Linked DNA regions of Saccharomyces cerevisiae S288C. The gene in region 1 interacts genetically with each later gene. Each region holds a gene or a part of one and is shown in the gene's direction. Other genes may lie near its edges.

Evidence for each region.
Region 2: mutations in TBF1 (region 1) and LDB16 together harm fitness more than expected from each alone (negative genetic interaction), as found in Saccharomyces cerevisiae (2 studies listed by BioGRID).
Region 3: mutations in TBF1 (region 1) and USO1 together harm fitness more than expected from each alone (negative genetic interaction), as found in Saccharomyces cerevisiae (2 studies listed by BioGRID).
Region 4: mutations in TBF1 (region 1) and RSC2 impair growth when combined (synthetic growth defect), as found in Saccharomyces cerevisiae (one study listed by BioGRID).

Annotation. Positions count from the first base shown.
Region 1 is NC_001148.4:306,022-309,770, reverse strand, and holds TBF1 (Tbf1p), read left to right. Parts: upstream 1-1,549; coding exon 1,550-3,238; downstream 3,239-3,749. Other genes in the region: HHO1 (histone H1), read left to right, coding at 167-943; TATA-binding protein-associated factor TAF14, read right to left, coding at 3,634-3,749. UniProt on the Saccharomyces cerevisiae protein: Binds the telomeric double-stranded TTAGGG repeat and negatively regulates telomere length. Involved in the regulation of gene expression. 52 binding sites have been identified, distributed over 15 chromosomes.
Region 2 is NC_001135.5:106,223-109,347, forward strand, and holds LDB16 (Ldb16p), read left to right. Parts: upstream 1-1,798; coding exon 1,799-2,569; downstream 2,570-3,125. Other genes in the region: ubiquitin-binding ESCRT-I subunit protein STP22, read right to left, coding at 1-631; VMA9 (H(+)-transporting V0 sector ATPase subunit e), read left to right, coding at 801-811, 889-969, 1,066-1,195; PGS1 (CDP-diacylglycerol--glycerol-3-phosphate 3-phosphatidyltransferase), read left to right, coding at 2,883-3,125.
Region 3 is NC_001136.10:343,804-351,579, forward strand, and holds USO1 (Uso1p), read left to right. Parts: upstream 1-1,861; coding exon 1,862-7,234; downstream 7,235-7,776. Other genes in the region: small subunit rRNA maturation protein TSR1, read left to right, coding at 1-182; RAD59 (Rad59p), read right to left, coding at 434-1,150; YDL057W (uncharacterized protein), read left to right, coding at 7,631-7,776. UniProt on the Saccharomyces cerevisiae protein: Required for protein transport from the ER to the Golgi complex.
Region 4 is NC_001144.5:839,657-844,500, forward strand, and holds RSC2 (Rsc2p), read left to right. Parts: upstream 1-1,674; coding exon 1,675-4,344; downstream 4,345-4,844. Other genes in the region: ATG33 (Atg33p), read left to right, coding at 665-1,258; YLR358C (uncharacterized protein), read right to left, coding at 3,831-4,394; adenylosuccinase ADE13, read left to right, coding at 4,626-4,844. UniProt on the Saccharomyces cerevisiae protein: Component of the chromatin structure remodeling complex (RSC), which is involved in transcription regulation and nucleosome positioning. RSC is responsible for the transfer of a histone octamer from a nucleosome core particle to naked DNA.

The DNA of each region.
Region 1 (3,749 bases):
TCTGCTGTTGTTTGTTTTTTGTGTGGAAAAGCGGGCGGTCAAAGTTTTTTGTTTATCTGCCTTTATTTAAAGAGGAGGAGCAACTATAGATTTGGGGAGTTGTTATTTATGGGCACCTGATAATGCTTGGCAGCGAGGGAAGCAATTATAATACAACTAAAGCAACATGGCACCCAAGAAATCCACTACCAAGACCACAAGTAAGGGCAAGAAGCCTGCAACCAGCAAAGGCAAGGAGAAATCAACTTCCAAGGCCGCTATCAAGAAAACCACGGCAAAAAAGGAGGAAGCTTCCTCCAAGAGTTACAGGGAGTTGATCATTGAAGGGCTCACGGCTTTGAAGGAACGTAAGGGATCCAGTCGTCCGGCACTCAAGAAGTTTATCAAGGAAAACTACCCGATCGTCGGATCCGCAAGCAACTTTGATTTGTACTTCAACAATGCCATAAAGAAGGGTGTGGAGGCCGGCGATTTTGAACAGCCAAAGGGACCCGCTGGTGCTGTGAAACTGGCCAAGAAGAAATCTCCAGAAGTAAAGAAAGAAAAAGAGGTCAGTCCAAAACCCAAGCAAGCCGCCACTTCTGTGAGTGCAACCGCATCAAAAGCGAAAGCCGCATCCACGAAGCTAGCGCCAAAGAAAGTAGTGAAAAAAAAATCGCCTACTGTTACCGCCAAGAAGGCCTCTTCGCCTTCTTCATTGACCTACAAGGAAATGATCCTTAAAAGCATGCCTCAACTTAATGACGGTAAGGGCTCCAGCCGTATCGTTTTAAAGAAGTATGTCAAGGACACTTTCTCCTCCAAGTTGAAAACAAGCTCAAATTTTGACTATCTGTTCAATAGCGCTATCAAGAAATGTGTTGAAAACGGCGAGTTAGTGCAACCAAAGGGCCCCTCCGGCATTATTAAACTAAACAAGAAGAAGGTCAAACTCTCCACGTAAAAAGTGAATATCCAAACGAGAATGTCAATGGTGATAGCAATACTATCAAACCTATTTTCTTTCTTCATTTTTGTGTCCCATCACTATTAGTATTTTGTATTATTTCTAAATTTTTTTCTCTCTAATTTTCAATCTTATTCAAGTGTTTGTTGGCGGTACTGTAAATTTTCATTTTTTAATCTCTCCCTTCTCTATTTGTTACTTATTCGGTAAATATCTCCTTTATGATTTTATTCAAATTCCATTCTTAACTAACTAACTATACTGTTTATAAATTTCTCTTCTCTTATATATGCAAGGTACAGTGTGTAAAATTAATTATTGTATTTGAAGAAAAGGCTTTAAAATCTGAACATTTGAAGCCCTAATATTCTGCACCGTGCCCTATTAATTTTCGCCCCTTTCCGTAGAAGCCCGGCGAGACCTCATTCCGACTAATTTTCCTCAATGCTTTGCCCTTCCTTGTAAACATTATAATAAACAATCATCTCAATATTGGCGTTTTGCTCCTATATCCTTGCCAACATTTAAGATTGTGGCTGTCCCATCTGCGACAGAAATCATTTTACATTAGTTTTTCTTTACTCACTTCTTTCCCCATTTGTCATGGATTCGCAAGTGCCCAATAATAACGAAAGCTTAAACCGCTTCAATGACATCATCCAAAGCCTGCCTGCAAGAACTAGGTTGACCATATGCTCATTATGTCTGCTGGACAATATCTCCACTCAACTACTGAGGTTTCTTATCCTTAATGCCAACTCTCCCAATATTATAGCGGTTTTGACGGACCAGACGGCTTTCCTAAGCTCAGGCGAAACAGAAATTTTTCAAACGTTAGTCAAGCTCTTTAAGCAGATCAGAATGATTTACCACACCAGATCTCCGTTACTGTCTGTTCACGACGTGGCGCCTGGTTTATGGTTTCCCAACTCCCCTCCCCCCCTTATATTGAGAGGCCACGAAGCGTTTATTATTACTGCCATAAGAAAGGCGAATCTGCTAACATTTCTATTGACGTCGCTGAACTGCCTTAATTACGGGTTTGAGCTGCTACAGTCGATATTTCTCGATATTTTCTGTCCAAATACAAACACTGTCGGTAACAACTCCCTGGAACAAAGCGGAAAGTTTTTGAAATCGCAGGCTATCCTATATCTTGATCTGAAAACACAGGCTTACATTGCCGGCTTGAAAGAGTTTCAGGACGAGACGAACGAAATTTCTTTAGAAAAGAAACAAGAGCTACTAGACTTAATCTTCCCATCCAATCTGGCTGATATTCTCGTGCAGAGAAGAACCGGCGATTCTGGAGACATTACACTTTTGACTCCATCGGAGAAGGACTTCGTCGAAAGGTGCGATCGTCGGAGAGAAAATTTAAAGATCGTCCAAGATTTTAACTCTCTGACCCAGAGCTACGAATGGGCTCAATTTATCAGAGAGTTGCTGGATTATTGTAATAAAAATATGGGTCTCATCATATGGGGCAGAAAGGGTCGCGGAAAATCACCATTATATGACTTTGATGTCAACGAGTTTGATCCTCAAGTACTCTTTTCTACAGGGACCAGGACCGTAGAATTCATGGACGACCAAAATCAGCCAAGCAGTGCGTCTGCTTTTTTGTCAACTGCTCGTCCGAATCATTACAGCACACATACACCTACCACAGATGTGTCTTCCAAAAACCCCGCTATCACACAATCCATTGTGGATGCCGCTGTTGCGGCCTCGATGAGCAACAGCAGCTCTGGTCCTCATTCCTCTCATAACAACAGCAGTAACAGCAACAATAATGGTAGTATCGGATTAAGAAAACCAAAGGCGAAAAGAACTTGGTCCAAAGAGGAAGAAGAAGCATTAGTGGAAGGCCTGAAAGAGGTTGGCCCATCGTGGTCTAAGATTCTAGATTTATATGGTCCCGGTGGTAAAATCACGGAAAATTTGAAGAACAGGACGCAGGTACAACTGAAAGATAAAGCCCGTAATTGGAAATTACAATACTTGAAGAGTGGCAAACCATTGCCTGACTATTTGATAAAAGTGACCGGTAACTTGGAGAAAATCTACAAGGCAAAGAAAAAATTCTCTCAATCTCCAAATTCGTCAACTATTATGGAACAAAATTTATCTCAGCATCCTTCATCAGCTGCATCTGCTACTGAAGACACTCAAACTCATCAAGAGGATTCACATGGGCAAAATAGTGATAATATGCCATCTAACGGACTTTTTGGCAATAGTACATCGGACAATACAGGTTTTGATCCTCATTTAGAAGATGGGATGTAGCGCGCTTAAATGAACAGACTTCTAATTTTCTATTGAACCACTCACTATTAAAAATACTTTGATGGGTTGTTAACTTCGCATTGTTTGGTTCCCTAGGTATATTCTTTTGACGTGGTCACCCTATCTTCTAGCAACCTGGTCCCCTCGTGTTTTTCTTTTTATTCTTTTTTCTTTTCCATTTTCTATTACATTGGAATGTATATATTTGATGTTCTCATTTTCTAAAATGAAAACTGTTGTATAATTACTTAAAATCCAAGATAAAAATGTGTTGTAATAATATGTGTTTGGTAAGGTGTCGCGGTTATTGGAATAAAGTTTATATAAGACAAAATATCAACGTGTTTTATTTATACAAACATAAAAGCGCGCATTTAACGCCCTTTTACCTTTTATTACTCGGTATTTTTCTTAACGTAGTCCCATAGACTTTTCAATAATCCCTCAGGTAAACTATACAAGTCAATTATAAATTCACCCTCTTCAACATTATTCGTCACGTTCATTTCTG
Region 2 (3,125 bases), on another chromosome or scaffold:
TGTCCATAAGGTCGAGTGCGTTAGATGCCGGTTGAGGTGGTGGAGGTGGAGGCAATGGCGGTTTTAGGTGTGGAGACTTGGGCTTTGGGGGCAGTGGGGGAGTATTCTGCTCCTGCTGGAGCTGCGTATTGGGCTTAGGGGGTAGACTGGGCGCCTGATCTTGTGGCGGCTCGTGTAAGAGACTCATTAATTCTTGTACGACCATTATAAGGTTCATCGCGGCAGGATCCCAGCAGTGGAGTATGGGCAGCGCAATCCACCCATTGGAGTCGATGTATTCTTGAATGGGCAAGGAACTACTGATGGTGTTCATGTCGAAATTTTCCAAGTTTATACTTATAAAGGGAGGTTTTACCGGGTACATACTGGGTACCCACATGATCACAGGAATACTGTGAGGAGATGAACCATCCTCACCAGTACTAATGGTACCATATATGGACAACAGTAGTTGTGGAGTGCCGTCAGAGTGCGTAAATACCCTTGTTCTTGGCCTTAAACTGTGAAAATTGTCCAGCAGCGCTAAAGAATCGTGGAAAGTTGTTCTTCCGTCGTTATAAATGGGTTGAATGACTTTGAACAGCCAATTGACCACCGCCTCGGGAACAGAGATCTTGCCGTTTGCAGACATCGTTGCTCTTCACTCTCTCTCTTTTCTTGGCCGTTAAGATACCAACTGCCCACAAAATTTTGCCGTAACTTTTTATTCTCGCTCTGTGAAAAAAGACTACTACATTTTTTGACCTTTTATCTATACTTTAAGAAACAAAGGTCCAACGAATAATAAAGAACAAAGAGTAATGAGTAGTTTGTATGTGTCATAATCTCTTCTCTCCGCTTCCCTTTTCTTCCTTCTTCTTCTACTAACTCTCTGCGCGTCCAATTTAGCTATACTGTTGTTGGTGTATTCATAGTGGTTAGTGCCATGTCCGTGCTGTTCTGGATAATGGCTCCAAAGAACAACCAAGCGTATGTGCAACATTTTTTTTACGATGTGTCTCCATATTACTAGTTTCCCTTTCTTTTTTACTAACAAGAGTTTGTTTGTTTTGTTTTGTCGTACAGTGTTTGGAGAAGTACAGTGATTTTGACATTGGCCATGATGTTTTTGATGTGGGCCATTACGTTCCTTTGCCAGCTCCATCCCTTGGTGGCTCCACGCCGTTCAGATTTGAGACCTGAATTTGCAGAATAAAGCGTCGAGTATATCAAGCCAAGTGACGTTTCCTGAGTATAAGAAAAATAAGCAAAATAAGTATACATAAAAATAAATACGAATAGAAATATAGTGGCATCTAAACAACCCAGAGATTTTTTGAAAAACACAATGAGTATATACTGATAGACAACCACACGGTCTTTGAAACGAGACGCCGTCTACGGTTGTATCAAAATGTGTAAACGGGCCATTTCAAAGCTTGATCTTCTCCATAATTAGAACCCATGTCCCGTGGAAGCGTTTTAAAAGACATGAGGCAGAAACAGGAGTGTGATATCCTTGCATGCGCAAGTTGGTAATACACTGCACAAAACACGCGTGTGCACATACACTTATGTGGTTCACCGTGCCGCTGCTGTGTTTATCTGTTGCTCGACATGTGCTGCTAATGATTATGTTGGAATAGACAAACAATTTAAAGTAATTTCTTCTTTTTTTATAGTGAGAAATCTCAAAAGAAAAAAAAAAAAATAAAAAAAACTAAAGAGCTGCCGGGTGAGCAACGACTAAAAGAAGAAACCATTTAGGGCTTCATCAGCAACTGTAGGAGGAGAAAGCAGGTATATAACTAGCCGCAATATGTTTGTGGTGGATTGGAGCGTGCAGCTATGCATGGGAGTGATTTCACCTCTCTTCCGTGCCCTCGTGCAACTGCCTTTATCAATTTTCGTATGGAATGGGTTTCAGCTTGTGGCATTGCCTATCAACATCCCATTGAGGTTGTTCCTGGGGACGTCGCTGAGCCGTTTAGTTGCACAAACAAGCACATTAGACTTCTATGTGGTTTTGACGTTGTTTCAATATTTTGCTGTGCTTTGTGCTTTTGGCAGCATCATAGGACTCATCTTTGGATTTATATTGGGTGTGTTCCACTCAATCTGCGGGGTACCCAGTGTATACATAAGTCTAGAATGGAAACGGTGGTTTGCTCCGATACGTACGGTCCTTGAACGTGCTTCCACTAGTATTGTCAACATTATGCGAGGACAAACTATTGCGCCAATACCCATGCCTAAGCCCAATCCCACGCATATATCAAAGCCTAACATGAAAAAATTCCATGATGAGCCTGGAGCTGATGATATGACTATAACGCATGATGTGAACTGCTACATCACCCCTTGCCAAACGCCTACTAACGAAAAAATTCAGCATTATAATAATGATTCATTCAACACGACCACCACAGACGATGAACCCACTGATATTTGGGATAGGTCTGACACTTACCAAAACTCATTCGTCACCAATGAAACTTTGATGTCTCTTTCTAATAGAGCTAAGCTTCGAAGAAATGCCAGTGATGCGGACATCGTTAATATAAAGATTTTACGAAGGAATTCTAGGTGATATTGCAATTACTTCTTCTCATGCACTAACAAGTGAATGATAGAAATATGTTGAGTTCCTAACTGCCTGATTTTAAATAAGTTTCATATTATAATCTTTTAGCATATATATATATATATTGATCCTCTCTCTTCTTTATTTTCTGCCAGTAACCCATGTGTGAAGAAGAAAACATAAATAAAAAAGCAGTAGCACATGGACACATTCACGCCCGAACACTCCTAAAAAGCAGCCCACACAAGAAAGTAGATATAATGTAGGACACCCAGCTTGTCCATAATTGCTAATAGCATACTCAGGATAACATATATTAATGACGACTCGTTTGCTCCAACTCACTCGTCCTCATTACAGATTATTATCCCTACCTCTCCAGAAACCCTTCAATATAAAAAGGCAGATGTCCGCTGCGAACCCTTCTCCATTTGGCAATTATTTGAACACGATCACTAAGTCCCTACAACAGAATTTACAAACATGCTTTCATTTCCAAGCAAAAGAAATCGATATAATCGAATCTCCATCTCAGTTTTACGATCTCTTGAAGACAAAAATA
Region 3 (7,776 bases), on another chromosome or scaffold:
GGTTCAAGTCTATCCCACTGTTCACCAAATCAGGTAGGTCAGGTTTCATTAAAGAAAGTTTGGGTACGCATGGTTATTTCAAGGCTACATTTGATGGTAAATTATCTGCGCAGGATGTTGTTGCTATGTCCTTGTACAAACGTATGTGGCCCATGCCTTCGTTACCTTGGAATGGTATGTAAAGTGATAAAAATATACACGTATATATATATATATATATATATATAAGTACGTGAGATCTATTTGTATAATATAATGCTAATAAAATAGTATCAACGATACTGTTGATAAAGGTAAGTCGATACCTGTTCCGTTCGCATCAAATACAAATGCCACTTATTTTGTAGAGGTATTAATGCATTATGTGAAAATTATGACTTTTTATCAAGCAAAATAAATTTGCTACTTGTGCCCTTTTTCTTTCTTTTTTTTTTTATTTGATATGCGTGCCTTTAGCATCCTCCAATTTGATAAAAGTCGGCTTGCTATTAGTCGCTGACAATAAGTTGTAATTGGTGTTAGCTTCATTTTTAATTTTTTTTGAGCCATACAAGCCATCGACATAGTAATTATTTGTAATCTTAGTCTCATAATCGAGTATGATTTTTTCAAAGCTCAATAACGCCTTCTTTAACGCATCGCCTACAGCCTCTTTTTTCGACCTGTTATAACATTCACCTCTCGAGGACAAAGTAATTCTACCTAGCCCACCACACTGTGTGTTGGTGCCATCCTTTAAGGTAACCTTTACTTGGGCTTCTGCCACAACTGTATACTTGACCTCACTAGTGTTGGTGTTTTCTCCATTATTTACTGCGGTGAAGGGCTGGCACTCCCGGGCCTCAACATCTATAACATCCATTCGCCAACCATCATACCCGAATGTTTCATTAGCGAACTGAATGAGAGCATGCCCTGGTATCAGCTTAGATAAGTTGTGCTTCCCATATTTATTATTGTGGTAAATATTGTACGTGTACCTTTCGATCTTGGACTGTAGAAGCCCAATCCTCTGCACCGACCAAGCGCTGGCAGGTCTTCCATTCCAATCTTCGATGATTTGGAACTCTTTTATATCCAAGCCCGGTGCTGTGCCGTATGTAGTCGAATCATACGATATGCTCGAACTGGGCTTCGCTTGTATCGTCATTATTTTGTCTGTTTATCCTGAAATATGCTCTTCTCCTCTACGTAACCCTTTAATGGTCCAAAGCATGTGCTAAACTGCCACAGACTCCCTCAATGATGTTCTTATCCTTCCTTGCCGTTACTGCTTCCTATCATATCTGCCCTTGCCAAACTGTGGCTTCCTCTAATCAATTTGCCCCAGTACATTGAAAAGCACGTGACGTGACACCAACTTGAAAGACATTAGTGTCCAACGCGATATAATGGTCAATAAAATACCCAATTTTATCAAGTGAACATGATATTATTCAATACTATAGTACTTTAAAGAAAACTTCAACAAGTTGCTTCATTGCTATATTATACAATTATGGGTGATGCCGGTCGGCTAACCTTTCTTTCGCAGCGCCACATACAAGAACATATGGTAATTACTAAGAACTTTTTGGAAACTATTTCCATGAAGAAAACAAAATTTACTGGCTTCTGTCTTCGAAGTAAATTTAGCGAACTTGATACTTTCGTTTGGACAGTCGTTTAGATTTGCAACTGTCTGTTCTTATTTCTTGCTATTATTACCAGAAATAAAGCCTAAAGCGCGTGGTTCTTACGAAAAAAATAGACCTTGCACATTAACAGGGTTTAGACATCACAGAGACTGAATACTGGAGAGAAGACAATTCTTGTTCACGACTTCGAGTGATTAATATCTATAACAACCCTCCTATCAAGAATGGACATCATTCAAGGACTGATACAGCAACCAAAAATTCAATCTGTGGATGAAACCATTCCGACGTTGTGCGATCGAGTTGAGAACTCCACTTTGATTAGCGATAGGAGATCCGCTGTGCTGGGATTAAAGGCATTTAGCCGGCAGTATAGAGAATCAGTGATTGCATCCGGGCTAAAACCGTTGCTCAATACTTTGAAACGTGATTATATGGATGAAGATTCGGTAAAGGCTATATTAGAAACAATTTTGATTCTTTTCATCAGAGGCGATGGCCATGACGACTTAACTAGAGGTTGGATTTCTCAACAATCGCGGTTGCAGAATGGCAAGTATCCCTCACCATTGGTGATGAAGCAAGAAAAGGAACAAGTAGATCAGTTCTCGTTATGGATTGCTGATGCTTTGACGCAGTCTGAAGATTTAATTCACCTACTTGTTGAATTTTGGGAAATCGATAATTTCCATATTAGATTGTACACAATTCAATTACTAGAGGCAGTGATGGCCACGAGGCCGTTGAAGGCGAGAAGTGCTTTGATTTCACTTCCAACGAGCATATCCACAATGGTCTCACTCCTAGATGACATGCATGAGCCCATCAGGGATGAAGCTATTTTATTATTAATGGCAGTAGTGAACGATTCACCTCACGTTCAAAAATTGGTTGCTTTTGAAAACATTTTTGAAAGGCTCTTTTCCATCATCGAAGAAGAAGGTGGGTTAAGAGGCTCTCTCGTCGTCAATGATTGTTTATCGTTGATCAATAACATCCTGAAGTATAACACTTCTAATCAAACTTTATTCCTTGAGACAGGAAACTTGCCAAAACTGGCACACCTTTTGAGTGAACCAATATCTCAAGATGAAGTTTTTTTTTGGAATGATCAAAGGATAGTTAATATCAATACAGCTTTAGATATCGTCAGCCTAACAGTAGAGCCAGGAAATACTGTCACCACTAAGCATCAAAATGCGTTGCTTGACTCAAGCGTATTAATGGTTGTGTTGCGACTTGCATTCTTTCATAATATCCCAAAAAAAGTTAGACCGGTTGCTCTTTTGACTGCCGCAAACATGGTTAGAAGTAATGAACATGCACAGCTAGAGTTTAGTAAGATCGATGTTCCATATTTCGATCCTTCATTACCTGTAAACTCTACTGCAAACGGTGGTCCAATTAAATTAATTCCTGTAGTCAGCATCTTGATAAATTGGATGCTCTATGCCAACTCCGTTCACACGTTTGATACAAGAGTTGCGTGTTCTAGACTATTAAAGGCTTATTTCATGGATAATTTTGATCTTCAAAGAGATTTTTTACTAAAACAAGTCCAATTGTGTAATAATTCAACAAATAATGTCGGCGACAATGCTAAAGAAAATGGTGGTTCTAACAAATCTGATAAAGAAAGTGATTCAGATAAAGATACCGACGGGAAGGATGGCACTGAATATGAAGGTTCTTTCAAGGCAAATCTATTCGAAGTCCTGTTAAATTATGACGCAGAATTGAATCTGAACCCTTTTAAATTATTCTTCACAACTGATATTTTTATGTTTTTTTTCCAACAGGATCACAAATATAGCGAAGAACTACGTGAAATAACAAGAAATGTTACCACCGGTAACGATCTCGAAGACGAAGAACCCTTAAAGGCAATTCAAACAATAAGTGAATTGCTAACTACTTCCCTTACTGCTGCTGACATAAGAATTCCTATTTCCTACTTAACGTTCCTAATATATTGGCTCTTTGGCGACTTTAAGGCCACGAACGATTTTCTTTCGGATAAATCCGTGATTAAATCCTTGCTTTCCTTCTCTTACCAAATTCAAGATGAAGACGTTACTATCAAATGCCTTGTAACAATGTTACTAGGTGTGGCATACGAGTTTTCCTCGAAAGAATCTCCATTCCCAAGAAAGGAATACTTCGAATTCATCACTAAAACTTTGGGAAAAGACAATTATGCTTCTCGAATCAAACAATTTAAAAAAGATTCATATTTCTCAAAAGTTGATATGAATGAAGACAGTATACTAACTCCGGAGCTTGATGAAACTGGTTTACCAAAAGTTTATTTCAGCACTTACTTCATACAGTTATTTAATGAAAACATATACAGGATCAGAACTGCATTGTCTCACGACCCTGACGAAGAGCCAATCAATAAAATATCTTTCGAAGAAGTCGAAAAATTACAGAGGCAATGTACAAAATTGAAGGGTGAGATAACTTCTTTGCAAACAGAAACGGAAAGCACCCATGAGAACCTCACCGAAAAATTGATTGCGTTGACTAATGAACACAAAGAGTTGGATGAGAAATACCAAATTTTGAATTCCTCACATTCTTCGTTGAAAGAAAACTTTTCCATTTTGGAAACTGAATTGAAGAACGTCAGAGATTCCTTGGATGAAATGACGCAACTGAGAGATGTACTGGAAACTAAGGACAAAGAAAATCAAACTGCTTTACTGGAGTACAAAAGCACAATCCACAAACAAGAAGACTCTATCAAAACTTTAGAAAAAGGACTTGAAACTATTTTGTCTCAAAAGAAAAAGGCAGAAGATGGTATAAACAAAATGGGTAAAGATTTATTCGCTCTGAGTAGAGAGATGCAAGCAGTTGAGGAGAATTGTAAAAATTTACAGAAGGAAAAAGATAAAAGCAATGTCAACCATCAGAAAGAGACTAAATCACTAAAAGAAGATATTGCGGCAAAAATTACTGAAATAAAAGCTATCAATGAAAATCTGGAAGAAATGAAAATTCAATGTAATAATTTATCAAAAGAAAAGGAACATATTTCGAAGGAACTTGTTGAGTACAAATCCCGCTTTCAGAGTCATGACAATCTAGTAGCGAAACTAACAGAAAAATTGAAATCCTTAGCAAATAACTATAAGGATATGCAAGCTGAAAATGAGTCTCTAATAAAAGCTGTAGAAGAGTCAAAAAACGAAAGCAGCATACAATTGTCTAATTTGCAAAATAAAATTGATTCTATGTCACAGGAAAAAGAAAATTTTCAAATAGAAAGAGGCAGTATAGAAAAAAATATCGAACAACTAAAAAAAACCATCTCTGACTTAGAACAAACGAAGGAGGAAATTATCTCAAAATCCGATTCTTCAAAAGATGAATATGAGTCCCAGATTAGTCTCTTGAAAGAAAAATTAGAAACGGCGACAACAGCAAACGATGAAAACGTGAATAAAATCTCAGAATTGACTAAAACTAGGGAAGAGCTGGAAGCCGAGTTAGCAGCTTATAAAAATCTCAAAAATGAACTTGAAACAAAACTAGAAACTTCAGAGAAAGCTTTGAAAGAAGTTAAAGAAAACGAGGAGCATTTAAAAGAAGAGAAAATTCAACTCGAGAAGGAGGCCACTGAAACCAAACAGCAACTCAACAGCCTACGTGCCAATTTAGAATCATTAGAAAAAGAGCATGAAGATTTAGCAGCTCAGTTGAAGAAGTACGAGGAGCAAATTGCCAACAAGGAAAGGCAATATAACGAGGAAATATCTCAATTAAATGATGAGATTACTTCCACTCAACAAGAAAATGAATCAATTAAGAAAAAAAATGACGAACTGGAGGGCGAAGTTAAAGCAATGAAGAGCACTTCAGAGGAACAATCAAATTTGAAAAAGTCAGAGATTGATGCCTTAAATTTGCAAATTAAAGAGCTGAAAAAGAAGAACGAAACGAACGAAGCCAGTTTATTGGAGTCAATCAAAAGTGTAGAATCAGAAACGGTAAAAATTAAAGAATTACAAGACGAATGTAACTTTAAAGAAAAGGAAGTTAGTGAATTGGAAGACAAACTCAAGGCCTCAGAAGATAAGAACTCTAAATATTTGGAGCTACAGAAGGAATCGGAGAAGATAAAAGAAGAACTAGATGCTAAAACGACTGAACTAAAAATTCAATTGGAAAAGATCACTAATTTATCTAAGGCCAAGGAGAAATCAGAATCTGAGTTGTCTAGATTGAAGAAGACATCTTCTGAGGAAAGAAAAAATGCAGAGGAGCAATTGGAAAAATTGAAAAATGAAATACAAATCAAAAATCAGGCCTTCGAAAAGGAAAGAAAGCTACTTAATGAAGGATCTTCAACAATTACACAAGAATATTCTGAAAAGATCAATACTTTGGAAGATGAATTAATTAGGCTACAAAATGAAAACGAATTAAAAGCCAAAGAGATCGATAATACGAGGAGTGAACTAGAGAAGGTTAGTTTAAGCAATGATGAGCTTTTAGAAGAGAAACAAAACACAATAAAAAGCTTACAAGATGAAATTCTTTCATATAAAGACAAAATAACTAGAAATGACGAAAAGCTTCTATCAATAGAGCGAGATAATAAACGAGACCTGGAGAGCTTGAAAGAACAACTCCGGGCTGCACAAGAATCCAAAGCTAAAGTTGAAGAAGGGCTGAAAAAACTTGAGGAAGAATCTTCAAAAGAGAAAGCAGAGCTTGAAAAGTCTAAAGAAATGATGAAAAAGCTAGAGAGTACGATTGAGAGCAATGAAACGGAGTTGAAATCCTCAATGGAAACCATAAGGAAATCAGATGAAAAATTAGAACAGTCGAAAAAAAGTGCTGAGGAGGATATTAAAAACTTGCAACATGAGAAGTCAGATTTGATATCCCGAATCAACGAATCTGAAAAGGATATTGAAGAACTGAAAAGTAAACTGAGGATCGAAGCAAAATCTGGCTCTGAACTAGAAACCGTAAAACAAGAGCTAAATAACGCACAAGAAAAAATAAGGATCAACGCAGAAGAAAATACAGTTTTGAAATCTAAATTAGAAGATATAGAACGTGAACTCAAAGACAAGCAAGCCGAAATAAAAAGTAATCAAGAAGAAAAAGAATTACTAACTTCGCGCCTCAAGGAATTAGAACAGGAATTAGATAGCACCCAACAGAAGGCACAAAAATCCGAGGAAGAACGTAGGGCCGAAGTCAGGAAGTTTCAAGTCGAAAAGTCTCAACTTGATGAAAAAGCCATGTTGCTTGAAACTAAATACAACGATTTGGTGAATAAAGAGCAAGCATGGAAAAGGGATGAAGATACTGTTAAAAAGACAACCGATTCTCAGAGACAAGAAATTGAAAAGTTGGCTAAAGAACTGGATAACTTGAAGGCAGAGAACTCTAAGTTGAAGGAAGCTAACGAAGATCGTTCGGAAATTGATGACTTGATGCTCTTGGTTACTGACCTAGATGAGAAAAACGCCAAATATCGCTCAAAGCTGAAGGATTTGGGCGTTGAAATTAGTTCGGATGAAGAGGATGATGAAGAAGATGATGAAGAAGACGAGGAAGAAGGGCAAGTGGCATGATAGAGTTAAAATATGTGCATAAACAAATCGCTTGAACGATCTGTTTGATTATGTGGGCAGCACTACTTTTTTGTAATTATATATGCATATATACATTTTACTGACACTAAATGTTATATTTTCTATAACATCTAACATTACTTCACGCCTTCTAATTAAAGTATAGTTTGTGCAAACAATATGTGAGCTCACGTAGACAATTGTCTAATATATCATTAATGTCCCTTGCATAGAACTTCCTTTTTTTTTCTCAGCGTCGCAATATCTCTGTCGAGAAACGCTTACGCATTATAATAAGCCAAGGAAAAATAGCGAAAAGCCGATGCAGATCTACAGGAGTGATGAAAGTACTAAAAAGATCAGAAAAGGGAATATTTGTCAAATAACCAAGTCGAAATGGAAAAAAAACATGTCACTGTGCAAATACAAAGTGCTCCCCCCTCCTATATCAAATTGGAAGCAAATGAAAAATTCGTATATATTACAAGTACAATGAACGGCTTATCTTATCAAATTGCGGCTATAGTTTCATACCCAGAAAA
Region 4 (4,844 bases), on another chromosome or scaffold:
TTATTGTCACAGTGTCACATCAGCGGCAACTCAGAAGTTTGACAGCAAGCAAGTTCATCATTCGAACTAGCCTTATTGTTTTAGTTCAGTGACAGCGAACTGCCGTACTCGATGCTTTATTTCTCACGGTAGAGCGGAAGAACAGATAGGGGCAGCGTGAGAAGAGTTAGAAAGTAAATTTTTATCACGTCTGAAGTATTCTTATTCATAGGAAATTTTGCAAGGTTTTTTAGCTCAATAACGGGCTAAGTTATATAAGGTGTTCACGCGATTTTCTTGTTATGTATACCTCTTCTCTGAGGAATGGTACTACTGTCCTGATGTAGGCTCCTTAAATTGGTGGGCAAGAATAACTTATCGATATTTTGTATATTGGTCTTGGAGTTCACCACGTAATGCCTGTTTAAGACCATCAGTTAACTCTAGTATTATTTGGTCTTGGCTACTGGCCGTTTGCTATTATTCAAGTCTTTTGTGCCTTCCCGTCGGGTAAGGGAGTTATTTAGGGATACAGAATCTAACGAAAACTAAATCTCAATGATTAACTCCATTTAATCCTTTTTTGAAAGGCAAAAGAGGTCCCTTGTTCACTTACAACGTTCTTAGCCAAATTCGCTTATCACTTACTACTTCACGATATACAGAAGTAAAAACATATAAAAAGATGTCTGTTTGTTTAGCCATCACAAAAGGTATCGCAGTTTCTTCTATAGGCCTCTACTCTGGTCTTTTGGCTTCCGCTTCATTGATTACATCTACTACTCCACTAGAGGTTTTAACAGGATCCCTTACTCCCACTTTAACCACTTTGAAAAATGCGGCCACCGCCTTGGGAGCGTTTGCGTCAACTTTCTTTTGTGTGAGCTTTTTCGGCGCTCCTCCCTCATTGAGACACCCCTACTTACTCTATGGTATGCTTGTAGCTCCATTATCTTCATTTGTTCTAGGATGTGCCTCCAACTATCAGTCTAGAAAGTACAGTAAAGTCTCTAAGGAATCTTCTTTATTTCCCGAAGACAGCAAACTCGCTGCTTCCGAACTGAGCGATTCTATTATTGATTTAGGTGAAGACAACCATGCTTCAGAAAATACACCTCGAGACGGGAAGCCTGCAGCAACCACAGTATCAAAGCCGGCAGAGGCATTGCACACCGGTCCCCCAATCCATACTAAAAATCTAATTGCAGCAACTGCTATTGCTATTGTTGGCTTTGTACAAGCCGTTATTGGCGTTTATGGGGAAGGACAATTTATCTAGTGTTTCTCGTTCACGTATTTATCTCTACAAGAATTTGTAGCTGCCTGAACTCGGCTCCTCTCTCTCTCCAAAAATAAAGTGTGTAGTAATTTGCAGTTTTTTTATATATTCCTACGAGTTTTCAAACGTTCAAAAGACAGTATGTTCAAAAATTGTGCATACACACACGTATGCACATATATACATAATAATACACTGTAATAAGCACATTTGTAGGTGCTCTTGCACTTGGTTTATTACTGTCACTGACTTTTCTCACCCGGCCGAGAGTCGTGCGAAAATTCGCATGTTAAAGTGAGAAAATAGAGAAAACAACACAGCTGAAAAAAGTATTGGTAACAGTTCAATACGTGATCAAATATACAGCACGTCGCGCAGAACCAGACGAAGCGGAGAATATTCTACATTGACAGTGCATGATGCCTGATGACAATTCAAACTCGTCCACTCAAAACTCAAGCGCATTATACAAGGACCTGAGGAAAGAATATGAATCTCTTTTCACTTTAAAGGAAGATTCTGGGTTAGAGATTTCACCAATATTCAATGTCCTTCCACCTAAAAAGGATTATCCTGACTACTACGCAGTGATCAAGAACCCTGTATCTTTCAATACTTTAAAAAAGCGTATTCCACATTATACAGATGCTCAACAGTTTATGAACGATGTTGTCCAGATTCCATGGAATGCCAAGACTTACAATACAAGAGATTCAGGAATTTATAAATACGCCTTAGTCCTTGAGAAATATTTAAAGGACACAATCTATCCAAATTTAAAAGAAAAATATCCTCAATTAGTGTATCCTGATTTGGGTCCTCTACCCGATGAACCAGGTTATGAAGAGTTTCAACAGAAATTAAGAGAAAAAGCTGAGGAAGTAGCGAGAGCTAATGCAGCCAGAGCCGAGTCGAGCTCTTCAATGAATTCAACAGAAGCAGCCAGAAGATTAAGAAAGACTCGTACTTCCGTCAAAAGAGAATCAGAACCAGGAACCGATACAAATAATGATGAGGACTATGAGGCGACGGATATGGATATCGATAACCCTAAGGATGCTGATTTTCCTGATTTGATAAGAAAGCCACTAATAAATATTAATCCATATACTCGGAAACCATTAAGAGACAACAGGTCCACTACTCCATCTCACTCAGGCACCCCTCAGCCGTTAGGCCCAAGGCATAGACAGGTATCCAGAACTCAGGTAAAGCGTGGGAGACCCCCAATCATCGACTTACCGTATATTCAAAGAATGAAAAATGTTATGAAAGTACTAAAAAAAGAGGTGCTAGATAGTGGAATTGGTCTAACTGATCTTTTTGAAAGATTGCCCGATAGACACAGAGATGCAAATTACTACATCATGATTGCTAATCCAATTAGTCTTCAAGACATAAATAAAAAGGTAAAGACTCGTCGTTATAAAACGTTCCAGGAGTTCCAGAATGATTTTAATCTTATGTTAACCAACTTTAGAATTTCGCACAGAGGTGATCCTGAAAGCATAAAAATTTCAAATATCTTAGAAAAGACCTTTACTAGTCTGGCAAGATTCGAACTATCCAAACCTGATAGAAGTTTCATTCCAGAAGGCGAGCTAAGATACCCTCTAGATGAAGTCATTGTAAATAATATATCATACCACGTGGGAGATTGGGCACTTCTTCGAAATCAAAATGATCCTCAAAAACCTATAGTGGGCCAAATATTCAGGCTATGGAAGACACCAGATGGGAAACAATGGTTAAACGCTTGTTGGTATTACAGACCCGAACAAACTGTGCATAGAGTGGATAGATTGTTTTACAAAAACGAAGTTATGAAAACAGGTCAGTACCGTGATCATTTAGTGTCAAACTTAGTTGGGAAATGCTATGTGATTCACTTTACTAGATATCAACGTGGTAATCCCGATATGAAATTGGAGGGTCCCTTGTTCGTTTGCGAATTCCGTTATAATGAATCCGATAAAATTTTTAACAAGATTAGAACCTGGAAGGCTTGCTTACCAGAGGAAATTCGTGATTTGGACGAAGCTACCATTCCGGTAAATGGTAGAAAGTTCTTCAAATATCCTTCCCCCATAAGACATCTACTACCAGCTAATGCAACGCCGCATGATCGCGTTCCTGAACCAACGATGGGATCCCCGGACGCGCCACCATTGGTCGGTGCCGTTTATATGAGACCTAAAATGCAGCGTGACGATTTGGGGGAATATGCAACCTCTGATGACTGTCCCAGGTATATTATCAGACCCAACGATTCTCCCGAAGAGGGACAAGTGGATATAGAAACAGGTACGATCACCACAAACACGCCAACAGCAAATGCTCTTCCTAAAACAGGATACTCAAGTAGTAAACTATCCAGTTTAAGATATAACAGGTCATCTATGTCTTTAGAAAACCAAAATGCTATTGGCCAGCAACAAATACCACTGTCAAGAGTTGGTTCCCCTGGCGCGGGAGGCCCGCTTACTGTACAAGGTTTAAAGCAACACCAATTGCAAAGGTTACAACAGCAGCAACATCAATACCAACAACAGAAAAGATCCCAAGCATCACGTTATAATATCCCAACAATAATCGATGATTTAACATCGCAGGCATCAAGAGGTAATTTGGGTAATATAATGATCGATGCAGCCTCCTCGTTTGTCTTACCTATCTCTATAACCAAAAACGTAGATGTTTTGCAGCGTACTGATCTGCACAGCCAAACCAAGAGATCTGGAAGAGAAGAGATGTTTCCATGGAAAAAAACAAAGGGTGAAATATTATGGTTCAGAGGACCTAGTGTGATAGTAAATGAACGAATAATAAATTCAGGTGACCCACACCTAAGCCTGCCACTGAATAGGTGGTTTACCACTAACAAGAAAAGAAAACTAGAATACGAAGAAGTTGAAGAAACCATGGAAGATGTGACTGGAAAGGACAAAGATGATGATGGCTTAGAACCGGATGTTGAAAATGAGAAAGAGTCCTTGCCAGGCCCATTTGTCCTTGGATTAAGACCCTCGGCTAAGTTCACGGCGCACAGACTCTCTATGCTGCGGCCTCCTTCGTCGTCTTCATGATCACCTTTATTGTAAAAGCAATGGCAGCATAATATCTTCCCATTGCGCATTACCCTCCGCGAGCAGAGTCAAACTTCAAACAAAGCAGGAAAATGAAATAAAACAGAAGTTATTATATAGAAGAAAGTCATCTATAGATATATTATCGTTGTATTAATAGTAGCCATATAAAACAATTATACTTCATCACCAACCTCTCAAAATTTCTTCCCCAAGGACCAAAGCTTTTCCAGTAAGTTGCTACAACTAAAGTGAAATAAACTATCCGAATTATATAAAAGATGCCTGACTATGACAATTACACTACGCCATTGTCTTCTAGATATGCCTCCAAGGAAATGTCAGCAACGTTTTCTTTGAGAAACAGATTTTCCACATGGAGAAAACTATGGTTAAATTTGGCTATTGCTGAGAAGGAATTGGGCTTAACTGTTGTTACAGATGAAGCAATTGAGCAAATGCGCAAACACGTCGAAATCACTGATGATGAAATCGCAAAA